Arabidopsis thaliana: one gene and its partners. The protein of the gene in region 2 purifies or fractionates together with the protein of the main gene of each other region. This does not show direct contact. Each region holds a gene or a part of one and is shown on either strand. Other genes may lie near its edges. The genes, in order: ATRPAC42, AT3G07300, AT2G44070 and AT5G19485.

Region 1 (8,157 bases), on a different chromosome or scaffold from region 2:
TCAAAAGAACAGTCTAAGATTGAACAAGATCGATTTGCACAACGCATTCAAGAATTCAGGACTCAATCTGAATTAGACAGCCAACAGGCCTCTGCTAAAGCAGATCCCTCCGATGTTGGTGGAAACCATGTTTATAGAGCTATCCCCCGTAAAAACGTAGAAGCAAACTCAGTTTCAACAGCAGACAAGGAAGTAAGGTTCTCCAAACCATAGTTTTCACAAATTGTTCCAATGGTTCTCTGGTAAAGAAATGGATTAAGTTTTGTCTTGCCACCGGAAAATGGTTAGAAGTGGCATAGTTTGTCCAAAGATATAATGGTCGCTGTTTCTGAATATGGCTATTTATATTGACAGGATCTTGCTTACCCTACTGTTGTTTTCTAACTGACACAATTAATCCAGCTCTCATTCAGATGCTTATAAAGTTAAAGTAATAGTGTCAATATTTGAGTTGCGCTCGCAAAGAATATTTCTGGCTTCAAGACTTGGGCCTTCTGTTATTAGATATAATACTGCTTTACAACCATGTAGACATTGAGATTTATGATGACTCATTTGGTGATTAGCTATACACTTCACTGCTTCAGTTCTTGTCCAGGCTAATGTCTTACTTATTTTGTCTTGTGTACTAATGCAGGTAACTAAACAAGGGTATCTATTAAAGCGATCAGCTAGTTTGAGAGCTGATTGGAAAAGGAGATTCTTTGTGCTTGACAACCATGGATCCCTATACTATTACAGAAACACCGGTAATAAATCAGCGGTATGTTTGCCAAGCTCCTTTTCACTTCCTCGTTTCCATGAAAGAGATCCATAAGCTCTTTGAGACTTGGTTATAGTTCAATTTCCAATGTCCAATTTCGTACATTTTTATAGTTATGTAGATATACTAGCACTCCCTCATGTCTTGGCTATATTTATATTTGTTGACTGTTAAACAAATCTCTCTCACCTGTGTATTCTTTTATTTTAAGTTTCACTTTCTCAGTTTCTATCCTTCTAATCATCTTTTTCTATTTATAGAAATCTCAGCATTACTACAGTGGTTTAGGAGAGCATAGTAGCGGCGTCTTTGGGAGATTTCGTACAAGACACAATCGATCAGCTTCACAGGGAAGCCTAGATTGCAATATGATCGATCTCCGTACTTCACTGATAAAATTGGACGCAGAGGACACAGATCTTCGACTCTGTTTTAGAATTATATCTCCTCAAAAGACTTACACACTACAGGTACTAAATTTATTAGATATAGAAACGTGAAGGAGCAAATATAGCATCAAGAGGCCAACACAATTTATTTCTATATGCTACAGGCTGAAAATGGAGCTGATAGGATGGATTGGGTAAATAAGATCACAGCAGCTATAACAATACGTCTGAATTCTCATTTTCTGCAGCAGGTTTACTCAATATGAGTCTCATACTTTTCTTTTACCTTCAAATTGAAAATTTTGTGTTGTTATAGAATCTAATATCTTCTGCAGTCACCAGCAAGATACTTGGATAAAAAGAATACTAGTTCTGGTCCTGCCACTGAAAACCTCACCCTGAATCAAAAAGAAGATTATAATCAAAGACTAAATGTGGGGGATGACGTCCTTACAATACTCAGAGAAATTCCTGGAAATAACACTTGTGCAGAATGCAATGCACCTGACCCCGATTGGGCATCATTGAATCTTGGAGTTTTGATGTGCATTGAATGCTCTGGTGTTCACAGGAATCTCGGCGTTCATATATCCAAGGTAAATTTCTTCATTTTGGTACGATATTGCGTAGCTTCTTTCCATTTAGTTCGAGGTTGTATAAGCTCATTTGTTGTAAAGCTAACCATGTGCTATATATCTTTGCATCAACCAAAATTTGCAGAGCTCAATTTTTTAAGATGAAGTGTTTATATTTCTTGCTGAATTAAACATCTGTGTATGAAGCTTAGATATTTAGCTAATGTCAAAGAATGTCTGCAGGTGAGATCGCTCACATTGGATGTGAAAGTATGGGAGCCTACAATCTTGGACTTATTTCGGAACTTAGGCAACGGATACTGTAATTCAGTCTGGGAGGAGCTACTTCATCACCTTGACGATGACAGGTATAATTTCTCAAGGAAAATTAGATTGTTTATATAAGTAAAGACTGTCTCTATAACACAATCAAGAAATAACATTCCTTGAATCAAAATCATCTGTTCCTCTTTTACAAGTTTCTATTTTCCCAATTGTGTAAAATCATGAGATTGGTGATCTTTACTTTCCTATGATCCTATCTTCTGTTGAATATTTACAGTGAAAAGGGATCGACAGACACACTTGCATCAGTTTCGAAACCATCTTCAGAAGATTGGTTTACTCTGAAGGAGAAATATATTAACGGAAAGGTATGAGATTTAGTTCTTAAAGTTTTCGCATACATAGACCTCAGATTCATGTCACTTGACGCATCATCCAAATGAGCATATTCTTGTGAATAGAAAAGGCTTATGATACTAAAGCTGATAATGTTTATGCCTAGCTAGTACCTGGAGAAAGCACTAGTTGTCAAAGATGAAAGAGAAGCAAATTCTACTGCCTCAAGTAGAATATGGGAAGCGGTTCAAAGCAGGAACATAAGAGACATCTACCGACTCATTGTAAAAGCAGATGCAAATATCATCAATACCAAGTTCGATGATATTACTGACCTTGATGTATATCACCACCACCATGTTGATGCACCAGATGAAGTAAAGAAAAGGCACGATCCAAATGCGTGTCAGAGAATCAAGAATTCGAACGAAGCAAGAAACTGTCTTCAAGGCTGCTCATTGTTGCATGTGGCGTGTCAAAGCGGTGACCCAATCTTGCTTGAACTGCTGTTGCAGTTCGGGGCTGACATAAACATGAGAGATTACCACGGACGAACTCCATTACACCATTGCATCGCATCAGGGAACAACGCATTTGCAAAGGTTTTGCTGAGAAGGTAACACACTAACTAATAAATCTCATGAGGGGCACTTTGAGTAGATACTTAGTGTCTCTCTTCTTTGAATTTGACAGAGGTGCTCGTCCATCAATAGAGGATGGTGGAGGATTAAGTGTGTTGGAAAGGGCAATGGAGATGGGAGCCATAACCGATGAAGAGCTCTTCCTTCTATTAGCAGAGTGTCAGTAAATTACCAATATACCATTTGCTGATTGATTGCTACGCAAAGGAATGTAACTTGTAACTGTTGTAGTATTTGGTCATGACTTGCTCATCGCATTGATGCTCCAATATTTACCTAATTCCCGAAGGAGATAGAACTCTAGGAAATGTCAAGATTCCGACCTACTGTATTAGCCTTTGTAATGTTATACATAAGATGATCTCAAAGATTCTAAGCCTGCACCTCAAAGTTTTTTTTTCTTCTTCTGTATTTGATATCCGAGATACAAATATGTGTTTTGTAGCCGGAAACTTTATTATAGACAACATTCTCATTGCCCAACAAAAATTTGATGAAGTAAGTGTCGTGTTTTCTTCTATTATTTTGCTCTAAATTAAGTAGTGCTATTGCCACATTCTTAGATACTAACGTAGAAGAGTCCCATCGACATTTTTTTTTTGACCAATATTAATTAGAGTTCAAAAAAGCCTATCATTCACAGTAGATGCCAAAAACAAAAGGAGTCATTCCTAGAATTGTTGTTTACATATGTTTTTAGTTTATATTCTTAGCTTAACCAATATGCTGCGAATTGATTGCAGAAAAGTTTTTTTTTTTTTTTTAAATTAAACAATTCACCGAAAAAGAATAAATTCTTATTATTGTTTTTTGCTATAAAACAAAATCATGAGCAAAAGAAAGTATTCATCTTGTGGAATAAATTTTTATTTTTTAAAGTAATGGCTTTATTTTTAGTGTTAAACAGTATTCTTTTGAAATGTAAAAAAAGAAGAAGTATTCTTTTGAAATGAATTTTTTATTGTTTCTTTTGGTAATAATGCGTTTTAATTCGAACCGGAAAGAGTTAAGGGATTAAATAAAACCGGCGGCTTTTTCAAAACCCTTCACCGTTTGTTCTTCATCTCCTCGCCGCCGCCTCCTACTCTCTCTTTCTCTCTAAATTGCTCAATTCTCTCGGCCACAGGTAAGCTTCTTCGACTTCACTCTTTGACCCAATACTACTTTCCTCACCCCCTGTGGTTTCCTTTGTTAAACCCTTCAATTCTCTTTCTCAATTTGATAAACCCTAGTTCTGCTATAGACCTAGACAAGGATGGTGACTAAAGCAGAAAAACAATTCGCCAAAAATTTCAACATAGACGATCTCCCTGACGTCCCTGCCGGACTTCCTCCACATCTCAAAGCCCAGCAAACTCGTGTCGTCTCTAAAAACAACGCTCCTGCTCATGTAAGAACTATTCTCGTTCAAAGTTACAATCTTTTATGCTCTGTTTTGTTGGTTATAAGCTTATCTAATTACAAATTTTATAGCTTTTCTCAATGATCCCATGTGGGTTTGAGTTCTATCGTTGCTGTGTTCATGATACAGAGTAAAAGTTTTGTTTTTTCCTGTGAAAAGCTGTGAATTTACGAGTTTGGCTCTTAAGTGTTTTACCAGAATACACCTTTTGTTTTCAAATTCAAGATGATATTGAGTAGTGATTGTTTGAAATTTGAAGTCTTTAATCTTGTGTTTGTGTTTTCTGTAGACTGCGAGTGCCATTTACTCGGGTACCTATGTTTCTTCTACGGAAGAGGACGACAATGTGAAGCTAGGAAACTTCTATGATAACTTCAAAGTTGATGTGGTTAGTCTCACAAAGACAGATATGGAATTTGATATGATTGGTATTGATGCAGCGTTTGCCAATGCATTCCGAAGGATCCTTATAGCTGAGGTCTGTCAAGTTTTCATACAACCTCTGATGAATCCCTCATTGTTGTAATCTTTGGCTTAAAGTGCTTCTTTCTTTATTGCAGGTTCCTTCAATGGCTATTGAAAAAGTGTTGATAGCGTACAACACATCGGTTATTATAGACGAAGTTCTTGCTCACAGGATGGGTCTTATTCCAATTGCCGCAGATCCAAGACTTTTTGAATATTTATCCGGTAAGCATATATTTCAGTGGTATGTGATCCATCTACATATGATGATAATTCTTCTGATTAGCTTACTTCTTTATCTGTGTATGATAGAACATGATCAGGCGAATGAAAAGAACACCATTGTATTCAAACTCCATGTGAAATGTCCGAAAAATAGACCACGTCTTAAAGGTAATATATGTTCATTAGTTAGCATCAGAAGATTTCTTGTTTTATTATCAGCTCCATCTCTCATGAAAGATATCATTTCGTTTTCTTGTAGTTTTAACGAGTGATTTAAAATGGTTACCAAATGGAAGTGAGCTTCTGAGAGAATCGGAAAATAAAACCTCAAAGCCAAAAACTTACACTTCATTCAGTTGCAGCCAAGATTCATTACCTGAATTTGCTAATAATCCTATCACTCCATGCGACCTCGATATCTTGATAGCAAAACTCGCCCCTGGTCAGGTAGTGTTTCTGTACATTCTTTTTATATACACCCAAGCAGACCATACTTGCAATGAGAGATGAAACATGTGCATCTTCTTTTATCTCTTTTTTCCCAGGAAATCGAGCTCGAAGCTCATGCGGTTAAGGGCATTGGTAAAACACATGCAAAGTGGTCTCCAGTAGGGACTGCTTGGTATAGAATGCATCCTGAGGTGAGAAGTATATACATCAATCTATCATATGCTTTATGGGAAACAGCTCTTTGTTTTGTCTTTCCTCATCCCAATATATATGTTTCGTAATGCTTTTGTTTATACTATCTTAGGTGGTTCTACGTGGGGAAGTTGAGGATGAACTTGCTGAACGACTTGTAAACGTCTGCCCACAGAATGTTTTCGACATTGAAGACATGGGAAAAGGTGAAGTATAAAATCTTATGCAAGCTGATGAACTTGGCTGCATGACTTACTTAAATTTGATTTCATACTGACTTGTGGAAAACAGGTAAGAAAAGGGCAACAGTAGCGCAGCCACGTAAGTGCACATTGTGTAAGGAATGCGTAAGAGACGATGATTTGGTAGACCATGTGGATCTTGGCAGTGTTAAGAACCATTTTATATGTAAGAAGAGAAAAATAAAACCCATTCCTTTTACTCTGCTACTCATGATCTGAAAGATATCGTAATTGAGTTTCTTGTCGTCTTTTTTCTCAGTTAACATTGAGTCCACCGGATCACTGCCTCCAGAGGTTCTCTTCACTGAAGCTGTGAAGATATTGGAAGCTAAATGTGAAGCTATAACCGACTTTTGAGTTCTGGTTTAGTTCAATTTTGAATTGTCTGTCTATCAATGTTTCTCCTCCTATTGATAAATTACCAACAAACAACATTGACATATTTATTTATACGGTTGTTGTTCAATTTGGATTTTCATTAGCCTTCTGAGTTCTGATTCATAACAAAATTCCTAGCTGAACCAATTTTGGAAATCTGCTTCGGTTTAATTTGGTTTTACTATTCTACCACTAGAACACTGACGCCATTCCTTACATTGTGCCAATCAAGGTGTGTGTTGGTAATAGTAGTTTTTGGTTTCATTGAACACTTAAAATAGCGTCAGTGGTAGAATAGATCCCTGCCACATTAGATTATACAAAATGTTCTCATTAAATATGAACTATGAGAGTTTATGTATAAATAACTGAAGAAGTAACATTTAAACAAGTAGCACCAGTGGTCTAGTGGTAGAATAGTACTCTGCCACGGTACAGACCCGGGTTCGATTCCCGGCTGGTGCAATAGAGCTGTGATGAAATCGGTTTCTGTAAAGGTTGGGTCCTTTGCATTTCTCCAGTTTATCTGGTGATATGGCCTCTTAACTGAGCTCTTTCTTTTTCTATTTTTTCTTTACCTTTTTAAGTTTTCTAATTAGAAGACATCAGTACATAAACAGTTGATTATGCTAATAGTAAGACTGATTATGATAAGGGAATATAAACAAAGTTCGACAATGTGGTTGTGAATTTTATAACGAACATGTTTTACAATATATCACAAGACTCACATGTTTTATTGGTTATTAGTGGATCTTTACAACATAACCACAAATAGGGGTGCTGAGTTTTTGAAAGAGTTTAGAAGTTTTGACCAAACAATTTTAAGTTCTTCGGATTCAATTACCAAATGTCAAAATACTCGTCTAACTATGATTTACAAGTAAATACCACTATTACAAGAAGTTTTTTTTTTTTTTTTTTTTTTTTTTTTTTTTTAACAAGAAGTTTAAGCTATGCATGGTAACATATTAATTTATTAGTATATAAAAAAAAATAATTCCAGGTTACAAAATAAAACAAAAGTATCTTACAATAATTAAATTTTGACGGTATGACGATATACAATATCACATCAATAATAATAAAAAAATTCATAGTTTATAGAAAATGGTTTAGACATATCATATCATACATATATTCTTAACCCGAATCCGGATGTTGTTCACGACGATAACGCGTAGCAATTTCACAACCACGATGGTAAAGGTTGACTGGAAATTTGACACATTCTTTGGGGGCTTTTACTGCCGCAAGCTGGAATTCTGTCTTTTATCATATCTTTATAGTTTATATATTTGCTTCCTTCTCCTAATCCGCTGAACAATGATAATATAATCAATTACTGAAACAAAGAAAAGACGGGTAAGACTCTTTTTATGACCAGCCATTGTTAAAAAAAACAATGTTTTTGAATCTTTTTGATCTTTTTCTTTGACACTATATTTTGTAAATTGAATTGGTAATTATTAGTTTGTGTATCTTTGAATTATAACAAGAGAAAGTATTTCTAAATACAGAAGACCAGTGCATAATGTGTGTGCAAGAGTTTAGTGGTTATTTTAATTCTTCCTTTCCCCACACCATTCGTCCATAACTCCGTATTCTTCTTCATTGTTCTAAAGAGAAAACAAGAAACGTTTAACGGTTTAAGCACTTTAAACGAGTACATTGATAATAAAGCTTGCATGATTCTCTTACACAACATACACATACTTACTTACTACTTTCTTACACACTTACACACACAAGCATGCTTTTAAACACATAACTAACTCTAGACTCTTGCAAGCCACTCTACTACTTACATATTC
Region 2 (8,693 bases):
TGGACTCATCCGTTCTTCCCTCTTTGCATAACCGTGTGACCAAGAAAATACATAACCCGCTGATACACCCACCAAGTTGTTCAACCACAGATATGAGTTCGTTGATACATTCAGGATCGGTTTCTCTAAGAGCAATATCGGAAACTGTACTCTCTTCTGAATTATCAATACCCTTTTGAGATAAGACAAATCCCTGTAACAATGAAGAATAGATACGGTCATTTAGTTCATATCCTCTTTCAACCATTGCTCTTACTGTTTCAAGAGCACGGTCTAGTTTTCCATTGTTGACATATCCTTTCACCATAACGGTATAAGTGACATGGTTTGGTGAAACTCCTGAATCTTGCATAGCAGAAAGAAGCTTCTCTGCTTCCTCGACTCTTCCAAATTGACAAAGACCATTTATGATGATTGTGTATGGATAGACATTCGGCAAACACCCACTTAACTTCATCAGTTCTAGGATCCTGAAGGAACCAGTAATATCACCTGATCGAATCAACCCATCAACCAATGTTGTGTATGTCACCACAGAAGGAACTAAACCAAGCTTATTGATTTTCCCAAGCATTGCTAATTCCTCCTTCACTTTACAACCTTTACTGAGCATATCAAGAATCACATTCAGGGAGTGAGGAGTTGTCAAAATTCTCATTTTAACCAATGTCTCCAGGATAAACAATGCGTCACGGGTTTTACCGACTTTACAGACACCATCGATAAGAGTTGTACCTGTTACTTCATCTAGGCTTATTCCTTTTCTAAGCATCAAACCTAAAAACGCGCTAGCAACGTCAGCCTTCCCTTGTTTGCAGAAAGCATTTATTATAGCGGTGAATGTAAGACAATCAGGCTCAATGTCAAAGCAGTTCATCGAGCTAAGTAGCTTGTAAGCCGTATTCATATGGCCTTCTCTACAAAGCCCATCGATCAAAACATTATAGCTCACAATGTCAGGTGACAGGCCATTGTCCAGCATTCTCTTCAAAAGGTGCACAGCCTTGTACGGTTTCCCGACTCTACACAACCCTTCCATAAGCTCGTTAAAAGTTCTTACATTTGGTTTGCAAGCCCTCTTCTCCATTACAGTAAGAAGCTCAAAAGCGGGAACAACCCGTCCATCTTTGCAGTAGCCATTTATCAACGCATTGTAAGTTATTACACTAGGAAATATCCTGTCTTTAACCATCTTTCGACAAACCCCATTAGCCTCTTCAATCTTTCCGTCTCTACACAACCCATCAATCAAAACAGTGTAAGTGTGGACGTTTGGTTTACACCCTCTAGGAATCATCTCATCAAACAAGTTAAAAGCTTTATCAATCAAACCTCTATCGCACAAGGCTTTAATAAGCACAGTATATGTACGTGTGCTTGGTTGGCAACCTTTCTCACCCATTTGATCTTTTAGGCCAAATGCTTCTTCAAGTCTCCCTACTTCACACAACCCGTGAATCAAAATGGAGTAACTAACAGAGTTCGGTGCACAAGTTACCTCCTTAGACATTACATCAAACACCTTGAGTGCATCTCTGAGATTCAATCCACGGCAAAAACCCAGTAACAAAGAAGTGCCTATATGGGAATCTAACACAAACCCAATTTTAAGAATCTTAGACATGAACATCTCAGCGGCTTCCGTGTATCCATTCTTACACAGAGCATTGACAATGGTTCTGTAATCAATCATACCAACAACAAATCCGTCAGCTTCCATTCTTCTATAAGTCACGTAAGCCAAAAATCCTAAATCAAGTTTAGCTAAGGACATCAAAAGAGAGCTGTAACAAGGGTAATTTAACCGGAACCCAAAAACTTCTCTCAGCTCATCAAAACAATACATTAGTTTCAACATCTCTTTCTCGCATCTACTACATTCCTTGATCAACGCAACAATAACAGCATGCGCAACTCGATACAATCCGGAAGAAACAATCAGTTTCAAAAGCTGATTTTTCTGAGTTGGGTCGAAACAATACGACGAATGCTTGCAGACCCACATGAAAAAGCGAACGCAAATATCGTTGTCACTGCGTTGAAGCGAAATGACCTGTGAAGCGACATTTGGATTCATGTGAGAGACTAGAGATTTAAGAGAACTGTTCTTCTCCCAATTGGGGGTTTTTAGCAAAGATGCGACATCATGAGCCGCCACTTCGTCCGAGGAAGACAGAGAAGGTCGAGAAGAGACGGAGAAGAAGGCATTAGAAGGAAAAACATGACGCCCCAAAGCTAAGATCTTTCGAGTACTTCTGATATGTATCAGCAGCATACACAGTACACAGATTGAAAGGAGCCGGAGAGAAACAATAAAAATGTTAACTTTAACTAGTGGGGTTTAGGGTTTTACTTTTATCTCTCTGGCTATTTTGAACAATGGTGTTTATGCAGGTGTTGTCGTCTGTCTGAATATTTTCACGGCGAAGATATAGTGATCCGGTTATGAGGTAATTGAAATTGAACCGTACCGAACCAATGCATCGCCTCACACTTATCAAGTAAAATTGCACCCAAAACTTTAATTAGTTAAAATAAGATGTCCTGTCCACCTCCAGTGGTAATTCTCGTATTAGCAAATACAAAAGCCAACCAAAGAAAAACGTTGTGTTGAAAGAGAAGTATACTATCAAGTAACAATAGACACCATTGAGACTGAGCTAAAGGAATTACCCAAGACACGGCAAAAATAAACTTGGCCTGACAATTTCAGACACTAAGATGTTTCTCTTTTTCATTCACAATCCTTGAGCAACTGTTTTTGTGCAATGTACATATATTCTTCAATTGTGAATGACCGACTATCCGACTGAATGTTGTATAGTTCCCACCAAGTGACCGAAAACTAGTCCTTTATCGCTACATCACCAAATCATCAGCAGAGTAGTAGTCCGCAATAAGACGGTACATGTAGGATGGATTGTGTCCTCCCCTGTAACCAAAAAGGTAACGCTATCACCAACCCTTTATCCAAAAAAGTAATGCCATGAAAATGGACCAACCTAAGAATATAGCAAAGATTATATATAGGAGACTTACGTGTCTGTTATAAAGAGACTAACAAGGTTTGGTGGGACATAATCGAATGTTGGGTTGACAACTTGAAGAGACCCGGAACCTGCTCCAAAATCCAGGCAATCAGAGAATTCACCAAAATCCAACAGTTCAGATGGAGATCTCAGCTCATTTAGTAATACTTCCGGATTGTGAGGATAGAGGGGACACAACTGTTATTACATTGGAAACCCTAAGTCAAGTTTTGAGAGCAAAAAACAGTTTGAGAAATTAAATACAACTCGAAACCAACCTTGTGACTACCAGCAAGAACCACGAATGGGACTGCGTGCTTTTGTGCTGCAAGAGCAGCCATGTTGACACCAACTGGCCCTATAACTCCACCATTAGCCATCACTGCATGAGCTCCAATTATAACCTGTGCATTTTCACATCATTGCAAATTATTTAGAAGACAAGGACAAGAAAACATAAAGTTGGGTAGGAATGAATTGTACCATATTCACTCGAGATATCATAGCAAACACTGCAGAGTCGGTGATCACAGTTGTCTGCAAACCTCTAGCTACCAATTCTTTTGCTAATAGATGGCCCTGATATCTAATATAATAGAATAGAAATGGAAGAAAATTTGATACAGCTGAGTTAGATGGACAAATCAGAGAGAATATAAAAATGTTGAGAGAAAACACTAACAATGGTAATGATGAAACATATAGTAAAGGGAGAAACCAAACCTTGGAGCACCTTCGGCAACAAATACACGAAAAGATCTTTTTTTCTCCTTTGCAGCACACAGAAACTCAAGCACTGTTCTTGAGCTACCCAGGGTTAGGATCACCTCACTGAAAAAATAGAATTTAGGCAATACAAAAGTGATCATCACGAAAAGACACTGAGAAACGACCATTTTAGTTCTCCATGTATAACATGTTAAAGATAAATAATGCTATAGAAAAGAAAAGTACTTTTGATGTATATGCTCTATAGCTTGTTCAGCGATCTGCTCATGACAACCAGCAATCTCTTGAATAAGTTGATTCACTCCTTCGATAACATCATGCTTCAGCTTCCGAGTTAACGAACTTTTATCGGCAGCTAAACAAAAGGGTATATTAGACCATTAATATCAACCAAAAACAGTAAAATATTCTTGCTGCCATATAAAATTTTGATCTATGGTTCATTTATGATATAATCCCAATAAAGTGAGACGAACCACCTAAAAAAGTAGACTGATAAGAACATATATGATTCTCATTTATCTCTATAACTCAGCAACACAACACAAACTCACAGGTAATTCCAGCAACAAAACTACAGGAACCAGTAAAATAGGGTTTGCTTAAACTCTCCCAAGCCTAAATGCCCTAAAGCAAAACCAAAACCACTGAGACCTAAATCTGTCTACGATAGCTAAAAAGAAAACCTTATATATCAGCTTGTAAAAGAGAATATGAGCCAACATTATTAAATTCCAGCGATAACACTTATCTTCAATGGTTTATCAAAGACATCAGTAAAACAGACGGCATAAGGACCTACTGAAAAAAAAACAGTATGTGCAAAGGAGAGCCAAAGGCATGAAAAAGGTACATTTACTTTTGCTTTCGGAATCAGCACCAGATGAAGATGTGTATGGAACAGTTGCAGATTCAGGAGTGCCCTCGAGAAGCGTTTGCAAAGATGGAGGGCGTAATGTACTCCTAGCTGCAGCTGCAACAACTGCTGCAGACATTGCAGGAAACCCAATTCCTTTGCAATTGTCTACATCATCATCATCACTTGCATCCAACAAGTCCAAACCACCCATAGCTGCTGTAGTTAGAGAAAGATCTTCCTCCCTTATAATATGCAAAACCCGTCTAACTACATTTCCCACCGCAAGCTCTACAAAAATCATATCCGTATATATCAATTCCTTTCACAGACTAAGAGAGAAGAAGCAAAAAGAGAGTTTAAGAAGACATACCAACAGGATTAGCAGCGATCAATTGCTCACCAACAGCTTTCACAGCATCGATAAGAGCGGCAGCTTGGTTAGCGTGAGGCACCCGCTGATGCGAAATTACTGACCTAAGTAGCTCTACGGTGTATTTGGCTGTAGCCTGTGAGCCCTCAATCTTACTGTATGAGATAATGATCCAATCAGCAACTATATTCACAAAGGGTTTTACGAAATTAAGCCAGAAAGAAAGAATTTACCGCTTTCTGAGCTTGTTAACAAATTCCACCACCGTTGATTGAACGTCTGGCATCTTCTTTAACCGAAATTAACGAGAAACTTGAGAAAATGCGAAACCTGAGGCGTTAGATTTCATAAACCCTAATCACGCGCGATTCGCGGCGGGAGGAAGAAGAAAATGGGAGAAGCCTAATGTGGAAGATGAGGAAGCAAAATGGATATGCTTACCAGTGAATATGTGACGGTGGTGGGGCGATAAGGAGATGAAGTAGCAAAAATCTTCCGGCGAGAGAGAAACGGAATTGATAATAGGAGACCAGATTTTTACATTCATTCGCTCTAGTGACAATTGAAGGTTTTTTGGTAGGTCTAACTTTTGGGCCGAAATAAGGTGCTATTTGGGCCTAAAATAAGCCCAAAAATACAAGCATTATCAAAGTATCTCCTTCCCTTTGCATAGCTTCTTTGGGACCCAAATTTTAGTTTTGTTTTTGAGGTTTTGAGTCTTTTGACAAAAGGAGAAAGATCAAATTGAACAAGGAAACTTAACACATAACATAAAATTGAACCCAACTACAGTATCTCTTATTCCTTATAACCACACCACATTCTTATTCAGAAATCAAAATATTTCTAAGCAAGATCTATACATTGAACTGAACAACTGCCTGAGAGATTCGGCAGAAACATTTCTCTATATATACACTACCAGAAGATCATGAAGCTTTTCTTCTAACCAGACTTGTTCATCATATGCTTTTCTTTCCTTCTTGTTCTTCTGCATTCCCATTCTCCTTCAGCTTATATGCACCATCTACATACAATTCCGTGTCCCACAGGAATGTCCCAAACGCCACAGCCTCGAGAACCAACCGCTTCAGACTCGAAAACGATGTCACTATGGTCTCATCACTCTCTTCCGTGCCAAAAAGAGCCAAACTTTGCTTCTCTATCAGATTCCTTGCCTCCTCTGTCCTTGGTTTTGCGCATCTCTGCAATGTCTCGGGATCAAAGTCTGAGATGTAATGTCTCAGCTGCTGCTTGTTGGAGATCTGTGCAGTGCCCGTTGTGAATGAGCATCCAAAGATGGGACTTTTCAGATATCCGCTTCCATGAATATCTGATAAGGAACACTCAAGCTGGTGCCTTAGGGAAGCTGATTTCAAGAAGTAACCGTACAAGATCGAGGCAGCATATACTTTCCTGAGATGCAGTTTCTGTATCTGCGTTGTTGCCCAATTGTCAGTCACACATGAGTTGACCCGTAATCCGATGACTGCGCTAACGTGTTCTTTGATGATCTCAAGGGTATCGCAGCTGTAAATTGACTCTAACTCCCAGTCTTTTGAAGGCCAGATCTCGAGTCTTCCATTATAGATGCATCTGGATAGCTTTGGAACAAGAGGGACTCTTATCTCGGAGTATTTGTAAAAGATTAACATGTACATTATGTCTTGGACTGCAGTTTTACAGTAGCGTTCCTTGAGTTCAGCTATCCTTCTGCCAACCATGGAATCAGAGTGTTAGTGTTCGTAAAAGAGCAGAAGATAGTTGAGAAAATGTTCACAAACAGAGCATAAAATGGCCTGAGCAAGTCAGAGAGTTTAACACAGGCAAGAAACTAAAATATACGGAAACTATTTAACGAACTAAGCAACAATGAAATGTAAAAAAGCAAAACCAGCCCTTATCAAACACTAAAACAAAACTTGCTTCACAAGGCAGAGTATGAGAAAGCACCTGAAGATCATAACTACAGAATTCTCTTGTTTCAATTCAACCATATCATTAGTGTGATTCTCAAATCATCATAAACTGATAAACACCATCAAACAACTTATAATCAAACTTTACAAGCTTATGTGATAAATACTAATAAAATACTGATTTGTGGTCGATTAAATAAGAGTATGTAAGTAATGATTTACACATATTTCTTTGTATGTTTATAATTCTACAGCTGTTTACGGATCTTTGAATTGTGAGAGATTAGATAAGGAAAGGTTTCACGGACCTGTGGAGAGAAGCCTCATCGGAACCAGAGCTGAGAGACATACGAGCTAAAGCAGCTTCCCTATCATCAGCCAGTTGCTTTAGCTCATCAGCGGCGGCGTAATGAAATAGCTGCCGTTTGTTTAGCAACACGCTTCTCAGAAACCTCCCCTGCGCCGATCGTGGCTCAAGCGGCGCGTTTAGACTGCTTCCAGGCTCACACCGACTCTGTCCCGCCGCCGCAACCACAACCATCGAACTATACTGGATCTTCCTCTTCGCCGGAATAACAAAACCACCGCCTCCATCGCCGCTCTGTCTCCTGGAACGCGACGGGAGAAACTGAAGCGCCGTTTGATTAGAGAGACAACTATCCATTGATCAGATTTGAGCAATAAAAAAAACCTAGAAACAGTGGAAAAACCCTAAAAGGATCTGTGATTTGAGAGAATTTCGGGAATTGTGAATGAGAGAGAGATGAAGAAGAATGATTTAGCGGATTAGTGGGAGAAGTGGCGAAGAATGGATAAGGTTGAAGAGAGTATCTTTTTGTTACTATATTATTCCGTTTCTATTTTTACATAAAAATATATTTGCTTCTGTTTTTTCCAATGGGCTCCTCAATTCGGTGTGTGGTTATTGTTTAACTCCAACTTGACAAGTGCATATATGTCATTGGCTATTATGTAAATCTTATTTTCGTTGAAATCATTTCTCATTCACATTTTCTTTAGCTTTGAGCCACCTGGAAATTTCAAAAATCCTAGATTCAAACGGACTCGGCTAAAGTCTAATTTTACAGGATTAGTAAAACATAAAACTTGGAAGTTTAGTAAACCACAATTAATAGTATAAGAGAATTTGATGAATAATTGTTTCAAAGTAGTATAGTTTACGTAAATTAGTTTAGTCGTATGATTTTCATATTCATTATAGTTAGGTGGTTGATGTTCACAGATATTTGTATATTTTATACACATGGGTTATAGTTTATGTATGGTACACACAGTCTAGCTAGATTGATGAATCATGATACCTTATCTCAATTATTGGCAATTTTATAAACAAATATAAGATGACCCATCGTGTTCTCTGCCTCAGGCTCTGAGTGTTAAAGGATTGGACCGATTGGTGGTCCTCTAAAGCCATCTTAGCTTATTTGTAAAAAACACCCCTACTTTTCGTCAATCATGCATCGGCTAACAATTTGATTATTTATTTCCTTCCCTTGACAAAAGAGTTGCAAATTTGAACCCTTATTACTCCTGAACAAGGGTTCATTGTGTGTTGATTGGTATATTTATTAGGTTTAGTGTAACACTAGTCTATCAAACTACAATGATACTTGAAATGTAGTTGTCATCGCTTGGATCTAAATTAGAAGTTCAAATTTGTATTTTAGACAGAAGTTGATACTAATTACAAATTTCATCGGCAGTATTTTGGATTGATGTGTGGTAAAAAAAAAAGTTAGAATGAAAAAGCAGATTCAAGATTTAAC
Region 3 (7,086 bases), on a different chromosome or scaffold from region 2:
CAATAGATTGAATTCGGTGAATTACCAAATTAGTTTGACAAATATATTCAACATTTATCACTTTTTTTTTGTCATAGAACTGTATAATATGTATATGTATATGTGTGTGAATTAATTAAATTTTCCAACCTAATAATAATGTTGTCTATGTGTTATCGACCGATGATGACCCATATTGTTATTCCTCTCGGCATTTCATGTGGTGGCTATATCATATTATCGTTTTTAGTGGGACAGTTGGTCCAATATTTATTTCTCTTTCGTTTTATGCTTTTAATAGTCAGAAGAAATGCCAACTTAAATTTATATAATTAGGGAATTTTGTATTTTACATGATACATAAAGGATACATAAGTGGTCTTATTATTATTATTATTATTTATTTTAAAAAGGGCTAGGTGTTGTTTAGTATGATTTAAACAAAAAAGTGATATAGTATTAAATATCGTACTATATTAAAAATGCTATTTGTTAAAAATACAAGACAGCTTATTATTTTTAAAAACACATAAAATAATATATTAAGATTTTTTTTTTTTCATTCATTATCTTTCAGGTAAACCGATATAATTTATTTGTTTAACAGCCTAAAAATGTAATAATTAAAATATCTAATGGATATATTCATAAGTACTTTTCGTTGGGTGTTTAATTAAGAGGGACATGATAATTTTCGCAAGCAGTTTAGTTTCAGCCGTTCTGGTATTAACCAATTGACAGCTTACCAAAATCCACTACTCATTTTTTATTTTTTTTTCAATCCAAAATACTTATTTATCCAAATTCAATGAATCGCATGTATAACATCTATTGATTACGTCTTTTCTACTTTTTTTTACAAAGGAGAAATGGTTTTATTCGTCAACTACTAGCTAAACTCCCAATGGAAATGACATTACTATTCTACAATTATAATGGCTCAAGTAGACATAATTACAACAAAACTTCACCTCCCGCTTTAAACAAAAACAAAACTTAATTAACGTCAATAAAAAGATGATGCAGACTTTTAAATTGTTAGAACAAAGTTTAACAACTATATATAACTGATCAGTTATATAAATAGCATATACACCATAGTGATATCTTCCCGATCTTAAAAGATATTCAAATTATCTTGTGGATATGTACTTGATTCGATATCTTTGATTTTTTGTATTCATGATCTTATGGTTAGGATCGATGCCACCAGTTCCTATGTAAACAAATAGATAATATGTAGGTAAATAACATTGCTTATACCAATCTAAATGTCAGTTAAGAATATATTGATACATATGTTTATAATGCCTTACAGATTTATAGAAAACCCATATTTGATTATAGTGATATATATAAGAACGTATACAGAGAGCGCAATCTCTTATCCAAATCAGAAAAAGATTTCAATTCGTAGCCAAAACCAAGAAAGATATAAGATATAGGTGAACTATAGGAGGGTGTTTTTTTTACTCGTAATTCCTTGGATTCTATTGGTTAATCCATCATCCATAGTGTGTGTATATTTAATTTTTAGAAAATTAGAAAGAAAAAAATTGTAGAAAGGGAAAGCTATATAGAAATGGCAACCCATGCATGATTGCCTTGAACATCGCAAACCCTCCCTTAGATTGCATGTCTAGTGGAACATAGTGGACCTGCAACAATATTCAACAAAAAATTCATATTATATACATTGCATAATGCATAGTAGGACATAATAAGATGAATTATTATGCTCAATAACAAGTTTATATGATATGCCCACAGTTTCATCACATATACTTGAGTTTATTAAAACGAATGATTCTATTTCTCTATTAAGATTAGCCTTTATTAATTGTTAGTGGTATGAGATATATTGAAGAAAATAAGTATAAGCAAAAAAAATGTTGATAGAAGAATTAAATAAGCAATAATTTCAAAAGGTATGTAATGTGGATGAAACGGCACATGTCGTTGTCACGTGGCTCGTTCCCATCGATTCAATGCATATCTCGACCAACTTGACTTATTAATATTCCTCGTACAACTCTCCAATCTAAAGCCACCTTTCTTCTACGTTATACATTTTCTTTTTCTGTTTTCTTTTAAATACTTTCTCCTCACAAATTATTGTTTTCTATTATCTAAAATCAATACCGTTAGGAAATGGTGTCTTTATAACACTTTAGAAAAATATAATTAATCATTTTCTAATGTATTATTTTTGTAATTGAGTAATTTGATTTAAAAATATAAACTAATATAATAATATTGGTATTTAATCATTTCAAATATTCTTAATTATATTCTTTTTGAATACACGCATATTGTTCTAAACTATTAATTTCTTACAAAAATTCTATATTATTTATTGTGTCTACAAACAAAAGAGTCGTCTAATCATTTTTGGTTTCATTTTTTTTTTGCTAGAAATCAAAAACAAATTCCTCATTTTTTTTGAGGTAAGCTAATGTTATTTTCTAATAACAATCATAAGTAATACCCGTGGTTTAAAGTTTACACGGTATTAATTAGGTACTACAGCCATGGTGGACGGTGGATCTTCATCACCTAATCCGTACAATTAAGAGACAATTAATTACATTAAATCATGTGCATTAGTTGATTTAGGAACTAATTGATAAATCAACTCTAAAGACTAAAGTAGTGCGATAGATAAAGCTAAAGTATATATTTTCTTCAGTATAAAGATAGGAATATATGGGGACATATACTTTTGTCGATTTTGTATCCAGCTTTGCATCAGTGAAGTCTGAGCGAAGATATGACCAGACTTAAAAAGCAACTAAAAAGATGCATAACAGAAACACAAAAATAAAATTCATGCATCTGCTAGTCATAGAGGTTATTGGATTCATTGCACGTATCTTAATGATTCGTTTTCGTTTCACCTCCCTTGCTACAAAAGATTTGAAAGAGAAAATGTTAAATTCTTTAGGTCAGAATCAATTAAGATAATTTCATTTTCTTCTTGTGTTTTGTACGTCACTTGTTTCTTTTTTCGTTGGTTATGTACCAAAACATGAAAAGTTCAAAAATTGTTAATTAGAAGATTAAAGAGAAGAGTAAGAATAAAGATGAAATGAGGAATTGATATGGAGGAGTAGGACCCAAGTTTGCAAGGATGGTGGCTGGCTGGCTGCTCTGTTGTTTGTTACATCTCATTCTCAATCTTAATTCCAATTCTATGTGCTTCTTTCACTATTTCCCTATAGAATACCATTCTTGTTTTTTTTTTTCAATTTTCAAAAACCACTATAAGGAACTTTTTCAATAGTTGCTTGTTTGTTTAGACCAAGGAAGATGTCAAATAGATTTCTTCACTTTTCAAGTGGAAGCAAAATTATGCGGTCAAGTGTATTATACTAGTGTGTGTTTTTTTTTGGTTTAATACCGACTAATTTCTAACTCTAATCTATCAGTGAACGTCTTAAAACTAATATTGCTGAAGAATATATTGTTCTCTGCTACAGCCTACAGCATTCAAAGTTTCATCAAAAAGATAAAATGTATATATAACTAAAAGTTTTGGGTTAATAGATAATAGTCAAAGAAGACATTCGTGTTGAATGTTTCTTTTTTTTTTTTTTTTTTATCGTGGGGATTGATTCAATGCATTGTTCCAACCTTTTGACTCTTTCTCGTGTTTCCTTTTTTATTCGTTTTCTGAATTATACTTTTTAGACCCTTTCCTCGAATTTTTACTTGAGCCCTACTCTAGTAATACATAAGCATATATATAAAAATCTCTCAAATTTGATTAGGACAGTTTTAGTATATAAAAAAAGGAAAAAACGCATTGTTTAAAACGTGGTCATGACGAAAACGTTTGATTTCGATCGATGATATTTAAATAAAGGAAACACCTAACCATATTTATTCTTAACTGATCAAAGATCCTCCAATTTCACGAAGCCTAAAACTCTCAAAAACAGATTCAATAACGTCACCAAACCTTGAGGCTTTTTAAAGGAAGAAGCATTTGAGAAAATCGTAACTTCTTGACCCTATGCATTCTGCTGTGTACAAGGTATGGTTAGTGCTTGTAATATACAATTATATAATCTCTTTGTTTTAATAAGTGGTTGCTCATTAAGATGAATGTTACTTGTCTAGTGAATGAGTATGACGTTGTTGTGGTTATCAGGTTGGTCTTCATTATCTTTCTTGGGATATTTCTGGTGGCAATGCCAGATGTATTGCGATGCTCCAAGCATTCCAAGAGGTTGTTAAAGATTACTCGACGCCGCCTGAGAATACCCTTAATAGAGACATGACTGCTCAAATAAGTAGCTACGTCTCTTTCCTCATAGAATGCCGTCCGCTTTCGATTAGCATGGGAAACGCAATCCGATTTGTGAAAAACAGGATTGCAAAGCTGCCTATAACACTTTCTGAATCTGAAGCAAAAGCTTCTCTTCACTCAGATATTGAACGTTTCATTAACGAGAAAATCATAGGTGCAGATACAGTGATAGTCGAACATGCTGTCACTAAAATAAGAGACGGTGATGTCCTTCTGACCTACGGATCTTCCACTGTCATTGAGATGATATTAGTGCATGCACATGAACTCGGGAAAAAGTTTCGTGTCTTTGTGGTGGATTCTCGACCAAAGCTTCAAGGGAAGCTACTGCTTCGTAGATTGATCAAACGAGGCATTAACTGTACATACACTCATATAACTGCCATATCATATATCATGCACCAAGTCACCAAAGTGTTTTTGGGCGCCTCATCAGTTTTTTCTAACGGAACAGTTTACTCAAGGGTTGGCACTGCTTGTGTTGCAATGGTGGCTAATGCTTTCCGTGTTCCTGTGCTTGTTTGTTGCGAAGCCTATAAGTTCCATGAGAAGGTGCAGTTGGATTATTCAATATGCTCCAATGAGCTCGGTGATCCAAATGCTATTTCAAAAGTTCATGGAAGAGAAGACATAAACTACTTAAATGGCTTGACCAACAATGCAAAGCTGAAGTTTCTGAACTTGATGTAAGCTAGCTTGTGTTAATCGTACAAGTGAAACTATATATGTTCTGTTAATACTATTCTTCTCTGCCTGCCACTAAACCCGTTTGTGATTTTTTTTCTAATGATAGGTATGATGCTACACCTTCAGATTACATTTCCATGATAATCACAGATTATGGCATGGTAAGATTAATCATATCGGCTCTTAATTAAAAACATAGCATTATGGTGATCAAGTGATCTCATCCCTAAACATAACTCATGCAACACAGTTTCTCCACTCATTCAGAATCTCAAACCATTGAACACTGACCATGTTTTATATTTCAGGTACCTCCCACAAGTGTGCCTGTCATCGTAAGAGAATATCAGAAAGAACACTTGCTTCAAAGCTCAAAGATTGTTATTTAGATGCTCAAAATAGAAGTAAGAATAAAAATGAAATGATATGGAGGAGTAGGACCCAAGATTATAAGGCATGGTTGCTGTTCTGTTGTTTGTTACATCTAATTCTCATTCCTTATTCCAATTCTGTGGGCTTCTTTCACTATTTTCCCTATAGAATACCATTCTCGTTTTTTGTTTCAATTTTCAAAAACCACTATAAGGAACTTTTTCAATAGTTGGTTGTTTGTTTAGACCAAGGAAGATGTCAAATTGATTTCTTCACTTTTTTGATTAATGTTTTGGGGTAATTAATTAGTCAAAGAAGACATTTGTGCTGAATGTTTTTTTTTGCTGAATGTTTTTTTTTTATCGTGGGGATTGATTCAATGCATCATATTGTTCCAACCTTTTGACTCTTTCTCTTGTTTCCTTTTCTTTTCTTTTTAGACCCTTTTCTCTAGTATAAGCATATAAATCTCTCAAATTTGATTTCGACGATTTTAATATATATATAAAAAAAAGAAATTCGCATTGTTTTAAACGTTGTTATGATGAAAACGTTTGAATTCGATTTTTTTTTTTTAATAAAAGTAAACACGTAACCATATTTATTCTCAACTGATCAAAGATCTTCTAGTTTCATGAAGCCTAAAAAACTCTCAAAAAACAGATTCAATAACGTAACCAAATAACATTGGAGGCTTTTTAAAAGAAAGAAACGTTTGAAGAAAATCGAAACTTGTTCACCCATATCACATTTTGGCTGCTGCTTCTGCCAAACGCTTCTTCTTCTTCTTGACACTAGCTGATTTGTAACCGCCTTTACACGGTTTTCCCCACGGACTAACCGATGTCCTTCCTCTGCTTCCACTACTTTTGCTTTTTCCTTCACCTCCACCGTGTGGATGATCACACGGATTCATCGCCACTCCTCTAACTTTGGGCCTTATCCCTAACCACCTACTCTGTCCTGCTTTATATAGCTTCTTCGTTCCATGAGACGGGTTCGACACTGTGCCAATCGTAGCACGACATTTGGCATTGATCCACTTGGTGTCCCCTGACGGAAGCTTTATCAAGCATTTCCCTTTAGCAGGCTCCTTTAGGATCTTGGCGTTGGTTCCTGCAGCTCGGACCATCTTTGCGCCTTGCCCTGGGTTCATCTCGATGTTGTGGATGATTGTTCCGATACGCATCATACCTAGTGGCATGGAACTTCCTATCATTGAGTTGATGTCCATGTGGAGCATCTCTTCTTTCATTTGTGCTACCAATGATTTGTTCTGTGTATCAGCAAAACCTGCAAAACACCAACAGAGATAGAGGCTTTCTATCAAAAAATAAAACGCACACAAAACAGAAGATATGGATTTTGACAAAAAATAAAAAGCTTGATTGAAACTTTGGATCTCCAAATCCCTCAGGTTAAGTCACTTTTGAGATGTATATACTCCACACAGATCAATCTTAATTATAGACTAGACAGACTCAAGTCCCACAAAGTAGCTACATGCATCAATCAATGATACTCCACAGAGCTCAATCTTAATTATAGGAAAAGAATATAATCCAGCTAGCAAGAGACTTAGGAGAAGAATTAGATACAAATAGCACCATAGTTGCAGAGATCCCAGCTTAGGCCCTAGTTATAAACTTATTCTAGTTACATAGTATCTTAACTTGAAGTAGCATAGTTTTCAGCTCAATCTTTAATCCAAGACTAATTTATGAAGAAGAGCCGAT
Region 4 (8,334 bases), on a different chromosome or scaffold from region 2:
GCCTCCAGAGCCTAGTTCACTCATGGTGTTGACATTTACTTCTGCAACCAGCAAACCTGTCACAACCTGAAGCCAACATGTATTACTAATGACCAATCCGTTACTTGCAAGAAACATAAAACAGAGATAAGAAGAATCATCCATCATCACCATGAAGGCCCAACAGAGAATGCAGGCGACTGCAGAGGCTAGAAAACCTGATTCTTGTGTCACAGCTGGAATCGCAAGTATCCCTGCACCTACCTAATCAAGAAAAGGATAAAAGTTTAGCAGAAAACAAACTTGATTCCTTGCATAGTTTCAACAAGAATATGGACAGAGTTATGAGAAAGTAGACACACTTACGGTAGTGCCAGCAACCAAGAAAATTGCACTGGACAAACTTCCTGAAAATTTCTAAAACTTAAAAACCAAAAATTTCTATCCAAATTTGGGTATTCACATGCAAAATGGTAACAGTCTTTGTACCGGATTCTCGCTTCAATGTTGATTGATTCAGGTTAGAGAAGAGCCTCTCAAATACGACAATCTTTTCTTCCTCATCTTCTTCTTCTTCTTCTGTTGTTACTTGTGTTTCTCTGCGTTCATCAGACACTCTCTGAGGCAAACACTTGAAGAATCTTGGGGTCTGAGTTCTTATGAATGGGTTTGATTTGAAACCAAAACAAGATGAGGAAATATGAGATCTTGGTAGATAAAAAGGGAGAGGTCCATTGAAACTAATGGGTTTCGTTGGAACTGAAAAGGTGGGTAATCTAAGAAGACAAGTGTAGCTTAGAGACACAGACATGTCTGTGTTTGTCTGATATCAGACACTAGCTATGAAAAGCCTATGATCAGTCTTCTGGTTTGTTTTCTGCGACTTCCGACAGTCAAAAGATTGTGTTAGAGAGAGCTTAGCTTCCAGATTAACATGTGTGGCTGTCTTATTTTTGAAGTTTTATTTCCCAATTAAATTTAAAATCTATGCATTTTATGCTTCTATTTTGCTTTTAGAAAATACTATTTGCATCAATGATACAAAAGTTGTATGCAAGTAAAAGAATAGCAATGCAAACATAAAGTATAATTTACAATTTACTCTATAAAAATAATTTTTATTTATTTTGAGTTTATGGTTTCTTAAGATATCATGTGATAAATCAAATTAAATGTTACATAATACATGCTGTCAAAATTAAATAATTGTTACATAAAACTTGTTAAATGAAAAGCAAAATAAAATATAAGATCTCATTATTAAATTAAAAAAGAGTGGGAGAAAAAAGGTCCAATTGCGTATGATTTGGGTCCGACAAGGACGGGTCAGAAAACAGAGACCAATTTCTAACTAGAAAAAAACAGATCCAAAGGAATTTATTTTTTTTCCTTTTCTTGTCGTGTTTGATGGAATCAATATATATATTTGTTAATTTGATTTTCTCTTGTTATTTATTCCAGAGAGAACGGAAGCAAGCAACACAAATTTCAAAATTAGGGTTTTTATCTTCTTCCCCTTGACTTTGGAAGCTGCTATTCCTCTGTAAAACAATAGCATGAAGAAGAAGCTCCAGACACGTTTTCCAGCGGTATGAAACATTACTTTTCACTGTTTTATAGTTTGTTATGTTCTTCTTCTTATGGAGATAACCATGAACTCTGTTTTGTGAGTTGTGAGAGTAGTTAGGTTCAACTTTTGCTATGATTTCAGGTTTACTTCTTCAGGGTTCCATGGTCCTTGTCTTCATTAGGTTTTTAAATTTATCTTTGTGAATGTATCTTTGGACTTGGAGGGCTCTTTTGTTCATGGCTAGATATAAATAAACTGCAGAGATATCTTGTTTAGGGCTAATCAAAGATGTTGATATCTACATAAGAAATTTCTTAGTGTCTGAGTCTGATTTTGTATGTGTTGATATGTTCAAAATTTGTTTCAGACAAGGATTAAGAAGATTATGCAAACTGATGAGGAAGTTGGCAAAATAGCAATGGCAGTCCCTCTTCTTGTTTGTAAGTGATGTGATGTTTTTGATTTTCTTACTCAAACGTTGTTCATATGTTAGCTTGTGTCACATGTAGTTGATCTGTTCTGGTTTTGAATTTAACTTTTCAGCTAAAGCTTTGGAGCTGTTTTTACAAGACTTGTGTAATCACACGTATGATGTAACTCTAAGCCGAGGTGCTAAAACTGTCAACGCCTTTCATTTGTAAGTGTGAATCTCATCTTTGGATTTTGCTTATATAAACCAATTGTTTTCTTGCTTCTTCAATACTTTTCTATTCTTTTTCCAGGAAGCAGTGTGTGCAAGCGACTAATGTCTTTGATTTTCTAAGAGACACTGTCGCTAAAGTTCCTGATTTGGGTGGCTCAGACACTGAAGACCAATCAGCTACCAAAAGAAGGTTAGGCCCGCTTCTTCTATAGTTCTATTCTATGTCAGCAATCAATCTACCTAATTTTGATATCGGTATCGTGTCTAACAACTTGTTTGTTCGACTTTTCAGGAAAGTTGTTGATGGAAGTAGTTGCAACGATGAAGATATGATAAAGACCACTCAAATGGTAACTAGCCAGACTTATTTTGCCAATAGACAATTGTATATTACTTAACGCATATGTTTCGCCTTGTTACAGCATGAGGTCAAACATACTAGCTGTGGCAGAGGAAGGCGAGGTAGAGGCCGCGGACGAAGTAGTGGAAGAACAGGAAGTGGGCTGTCTCTAAAATTTGAAGAAGATTTAGAAGACGGTTCTCCCGAAAGCAGCAGGACCCCGTCTCCCGAAAACGGGAGCCTTTCTCACGACGATACATCTTGGAAGAAAGTTGCATCACACAACAATCATCATAGTAGTAACTCAGAGGTAAAAGTAAGGAACTTCGATCTTAATGTTGAATTAGATGAGAATGGAGACAATGCTACATGGCTGGAAACACAGCTAGAGAGAAGTCCAGATTACCCGTTGGAGATTAACGAAATGAAAATAGATCCTGATGATCAACAACAGGCTAGTGCTAGTGACGAGGAAGATTATGATGAAGAAAGCATAGACCAAGAGTGAAAGAGTTTCAGTTTAGGTGAAATGACTTAAAACTAAAGGTAGGAGAAAGAAAACAACAACTTAGGAATTGACACACTTATATATTATAGAAGCAGTGTGTATGTAGGAGATTGCTCTCATTCTCTTTAATGTAATTTCGTTTTTTTCATTCATCTCTTCTAATTTGATAGCAAGCTTTACACAAACTATAAAATCATATACATAAAGTATGGTTTAATCTTTGTTAATGTTTAATTTTAATTAAAATATTTAAGTGAGATAGATAACCCAAGATTAATGGAACGACCCGTCGGATCCAAAAGAAAGAAACAAGCGGGTTAAATTGATATCGTCTTCGTCTACCGTTTCTCAAAATCAAAACCCCAGAAAGCAGAAACCTCTCTTCTTCGTCTTCTCTCGTCAATTCAGCTGCGACAATGGATTTCCAGGTCGTGATTCTAGCCGGCGGATTCTCTAGTTATCTTGTTCCCTTAGTCGCCAAGGTCCGTCTCTCTCTTTCACTCTCATCATCAGCATAACAGTTTCGACGAATTGCTAATTTGTTGTTGTTGTTCAGGAAGTTCCTAAGGCGTTGCTTCCCGTAGCGAATCGTCCGGTGTTGTCTTACGTTCTGGATCTTCTCGAGAGTAGTAATCTCAAGGATCTGATCGTCGTACGCCTTTTATCTTTTCAATACAATTACTGATTTCCTTTTGCGAGTTTCTAGGTTGAATGTTTTCAATAGAGCTCAGATTTTTTCGTTTCGCATTGGTGGAACAGGTTGTTGAAGGGGAAGATGCTGCTTTGAAAGTTGGTGGATGGATTTCTTCTGCTTGTGTTGATCGTTTACATGTTGAGGTATTTACTCATCTATGGCATCTGAATTCTGTAAAACTCTATGCATGATTGAAAGAAACTAGTGTCATATTCGTTATTAATGTTCTGCTGGATATTTTACTTTAGGTTGCTGCTGTTGCTGAGAATGTTGGAACTGCTGGGGCACTCAGGGCAATTGCACACCACTTAACTGCCAAAGACATTTTGGTTAGCTTTTCAATAAAGACGTCTCGTAGCTTTTGCTTTGTGCAACTTTTTGAGCTTCTAGTTAACTGGTAATTTGCTTTGACGTAGATCGTAAGTGGAGACATTGTTTCTGATATTCCTCCTGGTGCTGTTGCCGCCACTCATAGAAGGCATGATGCAGCAGTGACTGTTATGCTTTGTGCTCAACCTGTCAGTGGGCCATCAGAATCAGGAGGTTCTGGTGGGAAAGATAAAACCAAAAAACCTGCTTGCGATGATATCATAGGGCTTGATTCCTTGAAACAGTTCTTGTTATACATAGCCAAAGGTCCTACTTTTAATTTTTCTTTATGTTTCTTAGAGGTAACAAAATGCTTGAACTTGTTGTTGGTTTACCTCCTGAAATTGTGTTAGGTACTGAGATTAAGAAAGATACCCGAGTAAAAAAGAGCATTCTCTGTGCGGCTGGCAAGGTAATGTTCTTATTAAGTTTTTGAAATTACCTACAAATGCATCTTTTTATGATTCATATATTACAAATTCTTAGTACAGTTTCTAATTATCTTGTCATTTTCGATTTAGATGGAAATTCGATCAGATCTGATGGATTCTCATATATATGCCTTCAAGAGGTTGGTCAGATCTGCTTTCCTGCTATCAAAGTAGTTTTATCTGTCGATACTCAATATGTTCTTTTGTCTTACAGAGCAGTTCTGCAGGAAGTTTTGGATCAAAAACCTGCTTTTAGGAGCCTAAAACAGGATGTACTACCGTATCTTGTTCGTACACAGCTGGTTAGTCGGATACGGTCCTTGCAAATGACCATTTTTTTTTTATTACCATTTTGATTCCTTATTTGTGCGGTTTCCCCTTGAGTATCAGAGATCAGATGTCTTCTCTGACCAAAGTAATGTAGAAGAAAATGGGAATGGAAATGGAAAAAATAATATGCAGAACAACGAGGTGGTCTTGTCTCAAATTCTCTCCAACGCATCCATGCCAAGCTTTCATCAAGTCTATGAATCAGGTCTGGGTACCCGGAAAACCCATAAATGCTGTGTTTATATAGCGGATGAAAGTAAGTATTTCGTCCGCTTGAATAGCATTCAAGCCTTCATGGACGTAAACAGAGATGTAAGTTGTTTACACATGGGATTCCTTCTCCAGTATTTTTTTCTCAGTTGACTTATGAAGCTCCGCAATTGTTCAAACTTGTGCAGGTTATTGGTGAATCAAACCACCTATCTGGATACTCCTTTTCTGCTCATCACAACATTGTCCACCCATCAGCTGAGCTTGGATCGAAAACCACAGTACGTAACTCTACATGTGTAGATATTGAGCATTTGTTCTGTGAGTTGTGATCGTGAATAACAATTTTTGGGTTGCAGGTTGGACCTCATTGTATGCTTGGAGAAGGCTCTCAAGTCGGTGATAAATGCAGTGTCAAAAGATCTGTAATTGGGAGACATTGCCGGATAGGCTCCAATGTGAAGGTAATAATTAGCTTTTTACTCAAGCCAGCCAAAGAAAGGTGGTGTACATCTCGAAAAGACACTCAACTGCTTGTATATGTGGGTGCAGATTGTTAATTCAGTTGTGATGGACCATGCCACAATTGGAGACGGATGTTCAATACAAGGCTCAGTCATTTGCAGCAACGCACAGCTTCAAGAGCGTGTTACTCTAAGAGACTGCCAAGTACGTTACCCCCTTCAGTTTTCATAATACAGTGTCCCCTACGTATCAATGCTTTTACAGATTCCATAATCAAAACATCAATTGGTTTTATAGGTGGAAGCAGGGTATGTTGTTTGTGCCGGGAGTGAGCACAAAGGAGAGACCTTTGCTAGAAAATGAAAAGGAAGGATAAGCAAATGAGGTCACATCTTGGAACGCTTTTTTAAAATGAAAAGCAGCATTACTTAGTCATTCGTTTGGTAGGAGAGAAGAGTGTGAAGGATTGGAAAGTTTCCCACTAAGGGTTTTGTTGATTAAGAGTTTGAGATTTTCCGTTAGTATCTTTTACTGATAGAGTTTGATCTTTTGCTATTCATTACATATACATGAAGTCTTGAAACACTTTGTCAGCCACTGACCCTTCTCTCTGTTCCGTTGGTTATATTACATATGTCTTTTTTTGTTCTTCTCATTATTTACTCTTTTGTTCGAGATAAAACACTTTCCTGAAAGATCTAAATTTTGTTTTTGGTATTTCCATAGAGACGAATACACCCAAAAAGTCACATGCCTTCAGATTCGATAAATTTCAGAGTAAATGATTTCGAATGTATGAAACCTTTCTGTTTAAATAGTCACGAGAATAGATAAACTTCATAGCTTGTTTAAAGTGTAACAAAATGTACAAGTTGTGATTCTTCTTGGCGAACTTTTCGTTGCTTAACCCCTCCTAACTTCTCCCACAATGCAATTTTTATTTAGAGATTAAACCTGCAAAACCAAATCCAAATCATTTTATGTTATGTTGAGACAAATCTACACCATATAGAAACATTTCTAATTATTTGAGACTCCAAAATAAAGTTAGTGCACTCTCGGTCGCTAGAGTTCCAGGTTATCTTCTTATAAGCCTTAGACAATAATTATTTCTTCATGTTTAAAACAACCATAGCTTTGTTGACTCAATCATATTCATCATGTACAGTACCGTTGGTTATGACAGACGCAGCCCCATATGAGAAACGTGCGTTATCTAAAGATGAGAAGATGACTCTAGTGACCGAGTTACCTAACAAAGTTAGCTGCTTCTAAGCCTCTCCATGACACCTTGGGTGTGCAATACAAAAATGAAAGTGTGCACGGCTTCAGCCTCCAACCTACATCGCTCCCATCTCATCAAGCTTTGAGCTCTTATGCTGCAAAAAAGTTAATTTTAGGGCCGACAAAAATAAAATTTGCAGAGCAACACCAATGTGCGAGTAACCAGAAACTTCTAAATTCAGCTTCACTAAAAAGAAGGAGATGCCTCCATTGCCATTAGTATATTACCTTACTCTTTTTGTGCCTCTGAACGTCATCAGCATCTTCAGTCCCATTGTTCTTCCTTTTCTGAAAGTAAAGTGATAGCGTATACCACGTCAATTCTATCGAATTTAAGAATCCAAAATATACATATATAGACGGCCTAGGTACCAACAAGAGCAGACAGTTTTATAACCTTATCATGGTGTCCACTTTTTTCCTTCTTTTTGTCTCGATCCTTGTCTTTATCCTTATCTTTGATCCTATCTTTATGCTTGTGCTTGTGCTTCTTATGTTCCCTATCTTTCTCCTTCTTGTCTTTATGTTTTCTATGTTTCCTATCCTTATCTTTTGACTCACTTTTTGATTTTGATACAGTGGTAGGAGCTCCCTTCTCTGCCTGAAATAAGAACAGGAGATCTCATATTCTCAAACCTAGCTCAACTATCATCACAAGATACTTGGAAGTAATTCAACTTATCATGGTTAGTAAAAGATCTAGATGTTACAGGAAGTTAAAATCTAAACAGAGAGAGCAATATTCTTACTGGAGGCAATTCAACAGGAGCTGTATCATTAAGCTCAAAAGCCTCCTTAAGTTCATCAAGAACAAAAGGTTGGATGCGAGCATTCGTATCTCGGCTACTAAGTGATGCATTAGGAATAAGCTGATCTAATTGCATTCCTTCTCCTTTTCTAATCTCTGTGTCTCCAACCAAATTATGAAGATAATGAGCATCTGACAGTGACTCTGGAAGTGATCTCTTGCAAAAGAATTCATGGTGTGGCAACAACTTGTATTGTGTTATAAGATCTAGTGCACCACCCAATTCTCTAGGACCTGCACTTAGAAACCCAGAAGCTCATTGACCCTCAAATCCCAAAATAATAAAACTTGACAAAAATCAAAGCTTGGAAACCAAATTTACCTCCAAACTTAACGCTCTCTGATTCCATATTTTTTTGTTGTTGTTGATTAAACTGCAATTATTGGAATTTGAAAACCAAACAAGCCAAAGCTCAATAAGCTCAAGATTTGACGAAAAGCGAAAACAAAGCTGAAGCAAAGATCAATCACCGCCATACATGACTTCACGAGGCAGATCTCATCGCAACCCAGAGATATAAACCCTAATCTGGAAAACGGATTGCTCTTGGTCGTGAATTTCCCGCGGGAATATCGAGGAACGTTCGAGAAGGAAGTAACTAGGGTTTGAGAATGGATTAGGAGTTTCCTCAAACAATGGCGTTATAAAATCGCGATTTCTTTTTCTTCTTCTTCTGTTTTTTTTTCGTCCAAAATTTTGTTA

The links.
Region 1: the proteins of AT3G07300 (region 2) and ATRPAC42 fractionate together in Arabidopsis thaliana (co-fractionation; one large-scale study listed by BioGRID). This does not show direct contact.
Region 3: the proteins of AT3G07300 (region 2) and AT2G44070 fractionate together in Arabidopsis thaliana (co-fractionation; one large-scale study listed by BioGRID). This does not show direct contact.
Region 4: the proteins of AT3G07300 (region 2) and AT5G19485 fractionate together in Arabidopsis thaliana (co-fractionation; one large-scale study listed by BioGRID). This does not show direct contact.

What each region holds. Positions count from the first base shown.
Region 1 is NC_003070.9:22,396,243-22,404,399, reverse strand, and holds ATRPAC42 (DNA-directed RNA polymerase family protein), read left to right. Parts: upstream 1-3,986; 5' UTR 3,987-4,115; exon of another isoform or gene 4,116-4,232; 5' UTR 4,233-4,244; coding exon 4,245-4,379; intron 4,380-4,680; coding exon 4,681-4,869; intron 4,870-4,951; coding exon 4,952-5,081; intron 5,082-5,168; coding exon 5,169-5,249; intron 5,250-5,340; coding exon 5,341-5,528; intron 5,529-5,626; coding exon 5,627-5,722; coding exon of another isoform or gene 5,723-5,812; exon of another isoform or gene 5,813-5,835; coding exon 5,836-5,929; intron 5,930-6,014; coding exon 6,015-6,131; intron 6,132-6,224; coding exon 6,225-6,322; 3' UTR 6,323-6,487; downstream 6,488-8,157. Other genes in the region: AGD2 (ARF-GAP domain 2), read left to right, coding at 1-192, 638-763, 1,024-1,233, 1,317-1,403, 1,488-1,748, 1,971-2,095, 2,290-2,380, 2,519-2,964 and 1 more.
Region 2 is NC_003074.8:2,322,108-2,330,800, forward strand, and holds AT3G07300 (NagB/RpiA/CoA transferase-like superfamily protein), read right to left. Parts: upstream 5,553-8,693; 5' UTR 5,429-5,552; intron 5,318-5,428; exon of another isoform or gene 5,300-5,317; 5' UTR 5,274-5,299; coding exon 5,221-5,273; intron 5,143-5,220; coding exon 4,988-5,142; intron 4,906-4,987; coding exon 4,612-4,905; intron 4,114-4,611; coding exon 3,984-4,113; intron 3,861-3,983; coding exon 3,753-3,860; intron 3,616-3,752; coding exon 3,513-3,615; intron 3,434-3,512; coding exon 3,308-3,433; intron 3,228-3,307; coding exon 3,040-3,227; intron 2,933-3,039; coding exon 2,860-2,932; 3' UTR 2,510-2,859; downstream 1-2,509. Other genes in the region: AT3G07290 (Pentatricopeptide repeat (PPR) superfamily protein), read right to left, coding at 1-2,275; AT3G07310 (phosphoserine aminotransferase, putative (DUF760)), read right to left, coding at 5,950-6,700, 7,215-7,570.
Region 3 is NC_003071.7:18,229,378-18,236,463, reverse strand, and holds AT2G44070 (NagB/RpiA/CoA transferase-like superfamily protein), read left to right. Parts: upstream 1-3,833; 5' UTR 3,834-3,994; coding exon 3,995-4,015; intron 4,016-4,132; coding exon 4,133-4,977; intron 4,978-5,056; exon of another isoform or gene 5,057-5,074; intron 5,075-5,084; coding exon 5,085-5,139; intron 5,140-5,286; coding exon 5,287-5,367; 3' UTR 5,368-5,599; downstream 5,600-7,086. Other genes in the region: AT2G44065 (Ribosomal protein L2 family), read right to left, coding at 6,096-6,643.
Region 4 is NC_003076.8:6,571,475-6,579,808, reverse strand, and holds AT5G19485 (transferases/nucleotidyltransferase), read left to right. Parts: upstream 1-3,274; 5' UTR 3,275-3,456; coding exon 3,457-3,522; intron 3,523-3,596; coding exon 3,597-3,692; intron 3,693-3,799; coding exon 3,800-3,877; intron 3,878-3,982; coding exon 3,983-4,063; intron 4,064-4,150; coding exon 4,151-4,370; intron 4,371-4,456; coding exon 4,457-4,515; intron 4,516-4,624; coding exon 4,625-4,674; intron 4,675-4,748; coding exon 4,749-4,836; intron 4,837-4,924; coding exon 4,925-5,176; intron 5,177-5,262; coding exon 5,263-5,355; intron 5,356-5,433; coding exon 5,434-5,538; intron 5,539-5,626; coding exon 5,627-5,743; intron 5,744-5,836; coding exon 5,837-5,902; 3' UTR 5,903-6,217; downstream 6,218-8,334. Other genes in the region: AT5G19500 (Tryptophan/tyrosine permease), read right to left, coding at 1-66, 151-243, 346-386, 469-790; AT5G19490 (Histone superfamily protein), read left to right, coding at 1,536-1,568, 1,917-1,989, 2,093-2,186, 2,272-2,382, 2,485-2,542, 2,615-3,040; AT5G19480 (mediator of RNA polymerase II transcription subunit), read right to left, coding at 6,880-6,918, 7,052-7,111, 7,221-7,424, 7,573-7,865, 7,954-7,981.